3 linked regions of the Mus musculus genome follow. The protein of the gene in region 2 purifies or fractionates together with the protein of the main gene of each other region. This does not show direct contact. Links are inferred from orthologs where the notes say so. Each region holds a gene or a part of one and is shown on either strand. Other genes may lie near its edges. The genes, in order: Bnip3l, Fbxl4 and Bnip3.

Region 1 (3,644 bases), on a different chromosome or scaffold from region 2:
AACAAAGCTTGAAGATTCATGAAAGCAAGAAATACTGCAAGGCCCCCAAGCCAAGCTTTTGTGGTAAATGAACTGAATAGTTGGCAGGTATTACGAGTCCTCCCAAGCTCCACACTCTCCTATCCTGTTTCCTCCACAAGCGCCTCTCACTCAGCTGTCTGTGAATACTGGCCCTGTCTGGAGGAACAGATCCTCTACAGGAGAGACAGTGGAAGATGCACACCTGCCCATGCTCCAGAGCAGGCACTTCCCTCTGCTATGCTGAGCCACTCATAGCAAGATCAGCAATGATCCACTTTCCATGCATCAGACACAGAAAAAGACTCACTGGGCATGCTCAGAGCATAGTAGGTAGGACTTGAAACTAATATTAATTAAGCTAATGTTTATAAACTAAAATATTTCAGAAGTATGTTTTCTTAAAATATTAAAATCGGGGGGGGGGGGAAGCTATTAATTGAAAAGACATGCCACAAGTTAATGAATTAAGGGAAATACTGGCTGACTTTTGAATAAATGCCACAAAGTTTAAAAGACAAAGACGGTACCCATAGCAGCCTACCAGTGTATTCCAGAATCATGCTCCACAATGGTGTTTTACCATCTGGGGGAGGGAGGGTAGCATTTTTCATTTACTCCTACATTTATATTTAATAATTTATACATTACTCACAATTAGCCAAATTTTAAATAACTCATAAAAGATAAATAATGATGGCTCCTTTCTTTTGACTGCCTTGTTGCCTAGTCCCATTAAGTCCCATTAAGTCACATGATGACTCTATCAGGGTACTTACCCGAGCCCCAAGGCCAGCACATGAGAAAGGAAGAGAGATGGGATGAAAACTTTTAGGAACTCTGCAGAGAAAATGCCCCCTTTCTTCATGGCTCCACTCTTCCTCATGCTTAGAGACGCAGCACGTTTAGGGTGTCTGAAATGGAACTCTCTGGGGAAGAAGTTCAGAGGCTGGAATCAGACCACAAGTGCTGCAGATGCCGGGCCTGAGCAAGCCCCTCCACATGAGCACAGAAATCACACCGCCCGCCCAGACACATGCAGTAACTTACTTGGGTGGGATGTTTTCGGGTCTACTGGACCAGTCTGATACCCAGTCTGCACTTTTCTTCAAAGCCTCAACTTCCTTTTCTCCTTCTACAACTTCTTCTTCTGACTAAAAAGAATTAAACAGTGAGAAGAAAGGAACAAAAGAAACACAGAAAAGAACAATTCTTTTTAATAAAAAAACAAACTAAATACAAAGTTGTGTATTGGTGATTTTAATGGAGGAAACAAGCTGTTTTCTAAAACTGAAGTAGACTGTAACCCTGGAAAAGTCCTCTGCAGGGGTGGCAATGCTGTGGCCTTGGTGCTGTTGAACCCGAGGATGCACACGTAGTGTTTCACTGTGTCCTTCTCAACATTAAACTTCCTATGCTGTACATATTCCCAACTGCATTTAAAATAAACATACCAAAAAGGAGATGGGAACAAATTAAATCTGTGAGGAAGTTAGCAAAGGGATGTGGTAAATCATGAGGCTGCCAACCACCTGAGACCAGCATCTACTAAAGCCAATGTCACTCATTAAACTTTACCATGGTCAATTCCAAACAGAAACTGCTGCATTCCACTCTACAAATGAGGACAGGGCGTGTGTGCCTTGCTGAGGGCCTCGTAACTAAAGGGGAAGACTACTGTTTTCTAACCCAGGCAAATTGCTCCAAAGGCCCAGGTTTCTTACTCTCTGAAAGATTTTTTTTTAAAGATGAATATTTCTCAAGATTTTGAAAACATATTAGTCAAGTTTTTCTGGAATAAGCTATTTTGAAGTGAGCCAGAAGTTAACATCTATTGCAATAAATGAAAAATATTCTTTTTATTGCTAATGATAACCTAAGCTTTCAGGCCAGAAAAAAACAAACAAACAAATAAACAAACAAAAAACCATTACATTTCCACATGCCTTTTCTTGTTTTTGTTTCTCTGAGACAGTACCTCATTCTGTAGCCTAGGCTGACCTGGAATTCAATATGGGGCCAGGCTGGCCTTTGATCTCAACTGCTGGGATAATAGACTTGGGCTATCATGTCTGGAAAACTCTTTTAACAGAAAGGGAGAGATGAAAAATTCCTAAAAATGACACATTAGTTGTATTTATTTAGTTTCAAAGGAATGTGAGGCTGTGACTCCAAACCAGAGCCCCAAAACTCTGATTCTGACTGACAGCTGAAGCCACCTGGCCTCTTCACAGGACGCTTTCCCCATAGCCCCAGTTCCTCGGGACTCAGCTGTCTGGGAGTGTGAGCCTGGCTCTACACATCACCCCTTTACTACCAAATCCAAGCCAAAAGCTCAGGGGATGTTTGCGTCCCTTTGTCAGCACGGTCCTTATCTAGTTCTGCTGAAGTTGGCAAATTCCACCAACTAACACAATGCAGCATTTAAGACAGAGCTTTTCCCAGCAGGCACTGAGCTTACTCAGAATCATGAGCTGGCTCTGTGGAGCAACCCTGAGATCATCCTCAGGCAGAAGCCAATCAGCAGTCATGCTGCAAGCACTGAGCAGCATGTGTGCACAACATTTGTGAGTTTTCAGACTACTATAGGTTCTTCTTTTTTTTTTTTTTTAAGATTTATTTATTTTATGTGAGTACACTGTCACTGTCTTCAGTCACACCAGAAGAGGGCATTGGATCTCATTACGGATGGTTGTGAGCCACCATGTAGTTTCTGGGAATTGAACTCAAGACCTCTGGAAGAGCAGCCAGTGTTCTTAACCGCTGAGCCACCTCACCAGCCCCTATAGGAGATTCTTTTGTTTTCATTTTTTGTTTGTTTATTTATGACATGTAGAAGCCACAGGTCAACAGGTAAAAGCTGACTTACTCCTTCCACCATGTGGGTGCTGGGGCTTCAATGTGGGGTGGAACTCAGGCTGTCTTGCTGGTTCCCTGTTCTTTTGGTTTGGTTTCAGCAATGCTGGAGACTTAAACCCATGGCCTCCCACATGTTAGGCAAGAGTTTTGCCTCAGTAACTGCACTCTAGCCAGATGGTAGTTTGTTCTTAGTTCCTCCTTTGGCCTCCCAGAATGCCTGCTTTCTGGTTTAGCTTAGGTATTTTTTAACCAGTTAATATTTTATTCTTTTCAGAGTACAAACAGAGAGATTTGTGCTCTGAATTTTCGAATACGATGAGATTTCCTCCACGGGAATAAAGCAAAGTTACCATTGGAGTCATATAGTTATTTTAGTCTACAAACACATTTCTAACCTTAAACTCTAATATTAACATGATTCTACATTCTTTTATTGTCTGAAATTTGTCAATCCCAGAGTTTTGGAGAGGGGATGGTGAGACAGCCTCAAACATTCTTTAGAGCCTAGGCTGCCCTATAGATCTCATGATTCTCAGCCTCCTGAGTCCAGAAACTGCAATAAACCTTAACACTATGCTTGGTTCATTTTGAGATTTTAAGCCATCTTCCTGTGACTAAAGAATATGACAAAAGGGCCCCTCATCTAACCACACAGGACTCATGCTTTGCTCTTCCCTGGACACATGCTTCCAGTCAACTGTCTTCACCACCTCACAGTCCTTATCTTACACTCAGTTAATCTTCCTTTCAAAGTCTCTAAACCGGGA
Region 2 (4,271 bases):
GAAAATTTAAAAGTCATAAACCCTTTCACCCAACAATGTAATCATTTGCACCAAGAAAAGAAACAAATATGCAAATATATACAATAATGGCCCTCAATCACCAGGAGATGTTTTGAAATCCCACTGTGGTCCATGGAGAGCAGAGAATGCTAGGTAGATTATGATTCTTTCTAGACATATGCACTCCCATACATACATACGTACTCATAAGGGAAGTACTTAATGGCTGGCTTCTCTTTGGCGTGCTTGGACTTCTGAAGTCAGTACTCTTGATCCAAATTTGGCAACATTAAATTAAAAAAAAAAAAAGTTGCTTGAACACAGTTGATCTGACAGCCAGGTCTGTTACTTACTATGTAATGGGCATATGGACTAGACATACGTATACATGGACATATGTAGCTGGAGTAGAAAAAGATAGAGTTCACAGATCAGGAAGGGATGCACTTTCATCACACTACTCAGAATAGCACAGGATTTAAAAACTTACAAACTATTTACCCTTGGAATTTTCCACTTAATATCTTCAAACTAAGACTAACTGACACCAAGCAAAGAGACATAAGAAATAAGAAACAGCTATTCACATGCAGAAATGGCCTAGTAATTTCACATACAATAGAAATAAATGTGTAGTGTTCTAAATACTAAGAGAGAATTGGCTCAGTATTAGGTTGCTCCTAAAATAATGAGCCAAAAAAGCCTTTGAAAGGTAAGATGGCATGTGCATCTATGTAAAGACACATTCACCAGTGATGACTACTAAGTAGAAGCTGCAGAAAGCTATACCACACACTATATGAAACACACGTATACACATTTCTATCTGGAAAGAGCAAAGTACTAAGCAGTGATTATTATTTACACATCTACTACATCAGCACAGGAATTTGATTCTGTTTGTGATACCTTGTTGGAATGGTGAAACTCAAAGGGATATCTGAGAGCTTGAGCATTGAGCTTGCCTGGGCTGAAAGCAGGTATAGAATGTTGTTATGTTATCACTGATAACGGCCAACAGGACACTGCACACACGAAGAGAAGATCCCAAGTCAACAGACGTGCGACTGGGAATCAGTTTCTATGTGGAACAACTCGACAGGGTAAACGGGGTGAGCAAAAAGACAGCTTATTTAAGAATTTGGCCATTAATTCACCTGACCAAAGGAAAGGCAAATTTACAAATTTCAAAAACTGGCAAGGCATTTTAGAGGGAGGGGCGAGACACAAGGGAATTCAACTCAGTGCAGTTCTTCATACCTTTAGCCCCATCTCTCAGGGGCCAGGGCCAACAAGACCTCTAAGAGAGCCCAGCCAAGGCTACATTGAGAGCTCTACCTCAACACTCAAACACAAAAGGAATCCAACCTGCCCTCAACTAAATGTTCATTACAAAAATATCCACTGATGTTCATGATATGTCAGACAAGGTTTGAATCGCCACACACTGTAAAGCTGGAGAAACAAGAGCAGCATGGCATTACCACAGGAAGTAGGTCACTGCTAGCAGTTCAGAAGGTCTCAAGAATACACGGGCGCCAAGTGTTCACCATATACCAGCACTTGACAGGAAGAAAAAGAACAGAACTCGACAAATTGGGATGAAGTCATTGGCCAGTAATAACCAAGAAGGCACAGCATTATTTATCTCACACCAAAGTTGAGTAAGACAACAAACCATGGGGCACGTGCACGGAGGGGGGTGGGGGTTAGTCACAATCCATATTATGAAAGACCCAAGAGGACTCCAAACTTAGAACAGCGAAGACGGCAAATAGTAACGCTTCCAAGCTGAGAAGACTGGGCAGTGGCTTGGTAAAGATTCGACGACCATATTTGAAAGCAAAACATCAGCTGTAAACAACACTGTAAGACAGCAGCAACAGGACCACAAACAACCAGGTCTTAGGCCCTGACCTCTCTGACTTTGAAAACAAAGACGGAATAGGGTTCAAAAGAGCCAAAACGTGGGACAGGAATTTTTCAAATTGGTACGCAAGTCTGGAAATAATGGAATTCAATGACTACTCAAGACTGTCTAATTCTTAGCGCCACTAGATGAGACTTCACTTCCACCCAAGACTTACTCCAAGACAGAGGAGTGCGAGGGACCCTGTACTCATTAATCGTGTAGGACGAGAGAGTGGGCAAGATAAGCAGTGTGCCTGCCTTAGGATCTCCTCAGAGTGTGCGCAGGAAGCAGAGGGAGCAGGTGGCTCCCAACAGAGCAGACCAGTGGGCCACAGCCAGCTAACTTCCTGACCCTTTGTGGATTACAAGTAGAACTGACTGCTGACAGCTCTGGGACTAAGAGCACTTGGGAAGCCGATGAAATGCAGAACCAACCCCATCGCCAAACATAGTTGACAAGTGGCTGGGCCCACCCCAGACGATGGAAAGAAGGCTGCAGCCTGGCATCTCCTGGCTCGAGCCTGCCTGGACAGAAACCTTCCCGCGTGAGAGGGAAGTCAGGGCTGCGCAGCCTGCAGGCCCAGCGTCCGCAGCTCGCCGTGAGCGTGCCAGGCCCAAGAGAGCCGCGACAGGAGGCGGCGGCACCCACGTCCGGTCTCCGCCAGCACAGCGGCGCAGCACCATAGGCACGCGTGGGCCCAGAGCCTCCGCCCCGCGCTCCCCAGAGTGGCGCGCGCCCGGCCCCGCCCACGCCGAGGGGGGAACGTCGAGACCTTGAAGAGGGAGGAAGGAAGAAAGCGCCGTACCCTGCAGGGTCCGGAACTGGGCGAACAGAGCTTCGCCGCAAGCCCGCAGCGTGGGCAGCAGGAGACGGCTCCCAGTATCCCGTGCTGCTGCCGCGGCGGCGGGCCCGGCCCAGCGCGACCCGGAAGGAAGACCGAGGCCGGGAGGCGGGGCGGGGCCGGAGGCGGGGCGGGGCCTGGCGAAGGGCGGGGCCAGGGTCGGGCTGGCTGCTGCCGGATTGCCCTGGTTGTTTGAGCTGATTAGCCAGGCCAGTGGTGCTTTAGAAATGGCCTGTTTGCTCGGGGACTGGCAGCGGGTTGCAGAACCTTTACGCTACTCATCCTGCCAAAGATAGCCCTCCAGAAGTAATGTAGTTCTGCTGGAGCTTCTTCGGACTTGGTGACTCAACCCAAGTATTATGCAAAAAAGCACTTCAGCACAGGAGCACTAGAAAGAGAACTTCTAGAGCAGTAAAAGTTCTCAGCAGGCACAATCCACCAATTAATATACAAATTCTTCAGCCCTCAGAAACAAACCTTCCCTGCAGGCGCATATTCACCTGACCACCTGTGATGAAGATGCTGTCACGGGTCTCCCTTAAGTCTCCATTTCTTTTCAAATGAACCTTTCTTCAGTTGTCGTTACATCTGTCTTTCCACAAGGTTTCCATTAATAAAAAAAAACTTTAAGATTTATTTTAATTTTTTATTAATCTGTGTGTGTGTGTGTGTGTGTGTGTGTGTGCTGTTCATGCGCACACATGTGTTCAGGTGCCATTGAAGGCAGAAGAGATCAGATATCCTGGAGCTGAAATTACAGGCATTTGTGAGCTGTCAGAAGTGGATTCTGGGAACCAAACAGGGTCTCTGAAAGAGCTGTCTCTCCAGCCCTATTTATGGGAAACTCAATAATATGCTGAACCACTCATGATTTCCAATTTTCTCTTGAAGAAGCAAAATAGAAAGAATACTTGTTAATTTTATGTTACTTTCTTTTCCATCGCTGTAACAAAACATCACAGCCAAAACAATGAGACTTGGGATTCCAGATGGTTAAGAATCACTTACATACCCGGAGCACTGCAGCAAGCACCAGGTATGGTGGCACAAACAACTAAGAGCTCACATCTCCAACTGCAAACAACGAAGTACAAAGAACCAACTCGAAACAGGTAAGTCTTTGATCTGTCAAAGCCAGGCCCAATGACTGACTTCCATCAGCAAAGCCATACCTCCTCCACCTCCCCAAACAGACCAACTAGGAACCACATATTGAAAGGCCCCAGCATATAAAAGTATCTCATCCAGACCACCACATGAAGTGAAACAATTATGCTATGCTGTGTAATCTACACAAAAGTGAAATTTTAATCAAAAACTTCAAACTCAATTTCCATCTTCCATTCTTAACTGTGACACTATCTGGTGAGCTAGGTTCTAAAAGGAGAGGGTTAGAACTGGGTGTGGTGGAGCATGTCTTTAATCCCAGCCATTGGGGGGCAGAGGCAGGCAGATGTCAGTGAGTTCAAGGCCAGCAGGAAGAGCATTCCATCTCTTTAACACCAAGGGCAGCTGTGA
Region 3 (4,104 bases), on a different chromosome or scaffold from region 2:
ATACATCCTGAGTCAGGTGGCTCCAGGTACCCCTCTGGTGCTGAGCAGTCTGTGCCAGGTCCTTAACTGAAGTAGCCATCCTTAGTTCCACTTAACCTCTGGATCTCACTAGGACTATTTACAGAGGCTAGAGCCAAGGAGAAACCCCTTCAGTGTATCCATGTTTTCTCTTCATGCAAGTCTGTCCTTGATAGTTTGCCTATAACCAACAGAACCACTCATCAGAACCAGTTGCAGACAGGGCAGCTAGCTAAGTGAAGACTTATTAAATCTATACAGTGGACCTTTCAGGAAAGGGCAGCAACCAAGGCACAGAAATATCACAATACTTATCTCTCCTCCAGCATGCCAGAAGTCATACAGAAAAGCCCTGCTCCTAAACACCTTTCAATAAGATGGAGCAGAGGTAAAAAGGGAACAGAACCAATCAGTGTTGTGGGTAACGCCTTCAGTAACGCTGGTCCCAGAGGTTGCTATGGGGAATATTTGCTGTCCCACCTACCAACAAGGCTTCCACAGCTCTCAGCCTCAGAAGTAAACACGAAGCGGCAAACAGAGGAGCTGCCTCAGCTCTGACTCCAAGCTGGGATTCACATTTCATAGGGCAGCTGAGATAACCCATGTGACTAAGTGACCCCTCCTACCCTGAGCTAGACAGTGAGCCAGTGCTGAGCTGCACGTACACCCCAAACAATGGCCCAAATCCTTAGCCTGAGTTTCCACACCGTAACCATCTTTTTATAGAATAAGTAAAAGAGAAAAACACAAAACCTTAACCCTTGAAACGTCTAATGACAACCCCCTTCTGCCAATGACTCAGCAGTCTGGCGTGCATGTCAGCTGAGTGTATGTTAACCGAGACCTCTCAGGAATACTCAGAAACTCCCCTAGATGAAGTCTTAACAGCATAGTGTCAGAAATCAAATTTCAACTAGCTACGAAAGTGACTTTACACAAAACATCACTTGATCTCTTAAGAGAAAAGACAAAAAAACTTCTCAATCAAAAAATTCCAACTGTTTGACGTTTGACATTAGGGAATAAAACCTGAATTACGAGATTTTTTTTTTAATGTGGCTGTAGTTTGAAAATACAGATTCTGTAATGTGTTAGGCTGATTAAATTCTGCCTACTAAAATCTCGTTTAGGGTAATAAATTCAGCTAACTCAGTGTCTCTGAATGCAAGCTTTTTAAAAACTCTTTTAACACAACACTGCTCTGAGTTACCCTATTCCAGTACTCCAGGACACAGAATCTCTGGACAGCATAGTCTACACAAGTTCTAGGACAGCCAGAGCTATACAGAGAAACCACGTCTTCACACTAAAGTGGGTACTGTGGCCCACACCTTTAATCCCAGCACTAGGGAGGTGGAGGCAGGCAGATCTCTGGGAGTTCACTGAGAGTGAGACCCTGCCTGGGGGGGGGGAGGGGAGTTGACACTAAAGCATTCATTTTAAAGGTTTGGAAAGCCTCTCTCTCACGTTTACTGACATGCGTTTTACCTGGTGAACTCTTGCTTCAGAGAGTACAAAGGTCAACAGGATCCTCCTCCAGTCTCAGGGCCTGAGACTCAACTCAGACTCAACTCAGGCCCACCAGGTAGCTCTCAGAAATGGACAATGGCACATAGCACCCAGGCTGGCCTTGCAAAACTAGCAGCTGTCTGCGCAGTGCTAACAGTCTGTAAAGGCTGATGCTGGGAGAGCCTTTCTGTTATTTGTGAGACAGGGTCTGGCTACAGAGCCCCGAACTAGCCTGGTACGACTGTGTAGTCCAGGCTAACCTGGAATTTGTCAAGACTCAACTTCACCCACCCCATGATGGGATTTTAGGTGTGTCACCACACCCAGCCTCACTTCCATTTTAACCTACAATCTACTTCACTGCTTGCAGTGAGCCTACTGAACTAAATTATAAGCACTTTACCCTCCTTTTGAGCTGTTGTAGCTCTCTTCCACACTACCTCCAGCCATACCCCCTCTCTGTTTTTCTCTTTGTAGACTTGGCTGTCCTGAAATTCACTCTGTAGACCAGGTTGGCCTCGAATTTACAGAAATCCCCCTGCCTCTGCCTCCTGATTGCTGGGATAAAAGGTTTGTGCCACCACTGTGCGGCTATCCCACCTCTTAACTCTAAAACCTGACAGAGGTCTGAAACCCTGTATCCTCCTCTTCCATCAGGAAGTGGCAACAAAGCAAGCCAGGGGTAAAGATTGGGGGAGAGGGGACACAGCGGCAAAGCCTGTTAATTCCAAATTCCAGCTACTCTAGAGGCTGAACCAGGAGGATCACAAGTTCAAGACCAGTATGTCTTAAAGCAATAAAATGAAAACTGGTAGTGTTGCTCGGGAAATGAGCACTTACCCAGCACGTTCAGATCTGGTTCTGTCCCCAGTACCAAGTAGGAAAAGTGAAAGGCACTACAGTCATAAATATTAATGACTTCAATCAAAGCACTGAAAATTCAACTGCAACCTCTAACTCACTTAAGCAACTCTGAACAAGGGGACGCCAAGGGCCTGAAATCTGAGCTACTCGGGAAGCTGAGGAAGGAGGATCGCAGAGTTCGAGGCTCCCCTGACCTACAGAGTCTGAAAATACAGAACTATGACAGTGTGAAGAACAGAGCAGGAAAGAAAGACCCGGCCTGCCTGTGAAGGTACTGTCTGTAAGATGCCCCGAGGCTCACCACCCAGCCCCGGCTGCACCGAACTGCATCGCGGCCTCCACTCACCGCACCCCAGCCCGCGACCCTACCGCCTCCGCGGCCCCTCTCGGCCCACTGCCTCACCCTGCAGGTTCTCCTCCCCGCTCTGCGACATGGTGGCTCGGCAAAGGAGCCCGAACCCAACTGCGACAGGCCTGGGAGGCGGTCACCGAGAGGTAGCAGGGGCAGCCTGCGCCGCTCAGTTCTGAGGCCAGGCGACACTGGACTGAGGGACAAGGGGCGGGGCGGGGCGGGACGCACGCGGCGGCGGAGCCCATTGGCTGGGGGGCGGGGCCTGCAGGTGGGGGAGGAACGCGGGGGAGCGTGTGGCACGTGCGGCGCGTGCGCCGGCATGGGCGGGGCCTGAGGCAGGAGTGCGCGGGAGGGCGGCTGTTTTTAAGGTCTAATGCAGAAGTGGACCGGGGGCTGTGCCTGAGGCTGGAGTAACTGGGACCTAGGCGGGTAGGGAAGAGTCTGGGGGCGGGGCTCGAGGTCTGAGCCTTGGGACTCCGAGGTGCGCGCATTGCAGAGGCCAAGAGGCGGGTCTTGAAGCCAGGCTGGAGGTGGGCAGACGTGGGCGGGCTCCGAGATAGGCGTGGCATGAGGACGTGCGGCCAGGTTTTTGGGCGTCTGGCCTTGGGTGCTGAGTTTGCCCCTCCTGCTCGCGGTTGACCCATAGTTCCCCAATCTCCTCCGGAACCTGCGAGCGCCAGCAATGGGAGCACACATGGTCTCGCTGTCTCTATGCACGCTTACAGATAGTTTTTTAGGTTGCATCTTTAAGAAAAATGCAGTCCGGGAGTGCTTATGTATAACTCTAGTCCCAGCCCTGGTTCGTGGCCAGGCTGGGCTGCACTGTATGAAGCTGTTTACAACAAAGCAAAACAAAAAATTTGCCAGTATTCTACTGCAGCATCAATGGCGAGTTGGGTAGTGCTGTGGTATGCTGCATGCGAGAAAGGACGGCATTTTTGGACAGGAACGGTTGGAGAGACCTTTGGAGGGCCAGTTTTGAGGATTCTGCATCCTCCCTGTAACCTACCCAGTAGCTTCTCTGTACTTGGAGGTTGGAATTCCCTCTTGATACAGTTCTGGGATAGAGAAGGGGCTTGTGAACCTCAAAAGAAGCTATCTTAGTAGCAGTGGGTCAGGTCACTAGAAGCAGCTTCATTTGGTGTTTTGTTTTTTCCCAGACAATGTCATAACCGAGGCTGGCTTTGAATTGGCTGTGTAGCAAAAGCTAACCTTGAATTTCCGATCCTACTGCTTTCGCCTCCTGAGAGCTGGGATTATAGCTATGCAGCCTTGATTTCCGTTTGTTTTGTTTGGAGTGCTAAGGTTATACGAGGGCCTTGCACATGCAAGTTCACTGCAGCTGAGCCATGTCACCAGAC

Evidence for each region.
Region 1: the proteins of Fbxl4 (region 2) and Bnip3l purify together in Homo sapiens (affinity purification with western blotting; 4 studies listed by BioGRID, with this or other methods). This does not show direct contact. The link is inferred for Mus musculus from reciprocal best matches to the Homo sapiens genes FBXL4 and BNIP3L.
Region 3: the proteins of Fbxl4 (region 2) and Bnip3 purify together in Homo sapiens (affinity purification with western blotting; 4 studies listed by BioGRID, with this or other methods). This does not show direct contact. The link is inferred for Mus musculus from reciprocal best matches to the Homo sapiens genes FBXL4 and BNIP3.

What each region holds. Positions count from the first base shown.
Region 1 is NC_000080.6:66,988,338-66,991,981, forward strand, and holds part of Bnip3l (BCL2/adenovirus E1B 19 kDa protein-interacting protein 3-like), read right to left. Parts: intron 1,173-3,644; coding exon 1,069-1,172; intron 948-1,068; coding exon 798-947; intron 1-797.
Region 2 is NC_000070.6:22,356,128-22,360,398, reverse strand, and holds the start of Fbxl4 (F-box/LRR-repeat protein 4), read right to left. Parts: upstream 2,857-4,271; 5' UTR 2,718-2,856; intron 1-2,717. UniProt on the Homo sapiens protein: Substrate-recognition component of the mitochondria-localized SCF-FBXL4 ubiquitin E3 ligase complex that plays a role in the restriction of mitophagy by controlling the degradation of BNIP3 and NIX mitophagy receptors.
Region 3 is NC_000073.6:138,906,569-138,910,672, forward strand, and holds the start of Bnip3 (BCL2/adenovirus E1B 19 kDa protein-interacting protein 3), read right to left. Parts: upstream 2,939-4,104; 5' UTR 2,826-2,938; coding exon 2,795-2,825; intron 1-2,794. UniProt on the Homo sapiens protein: Apoptosis-inducing protein that can overcome BCL2 suppression. May play a role in repartitioning calcium between the two major intracellular calcium stores in association with BCL2.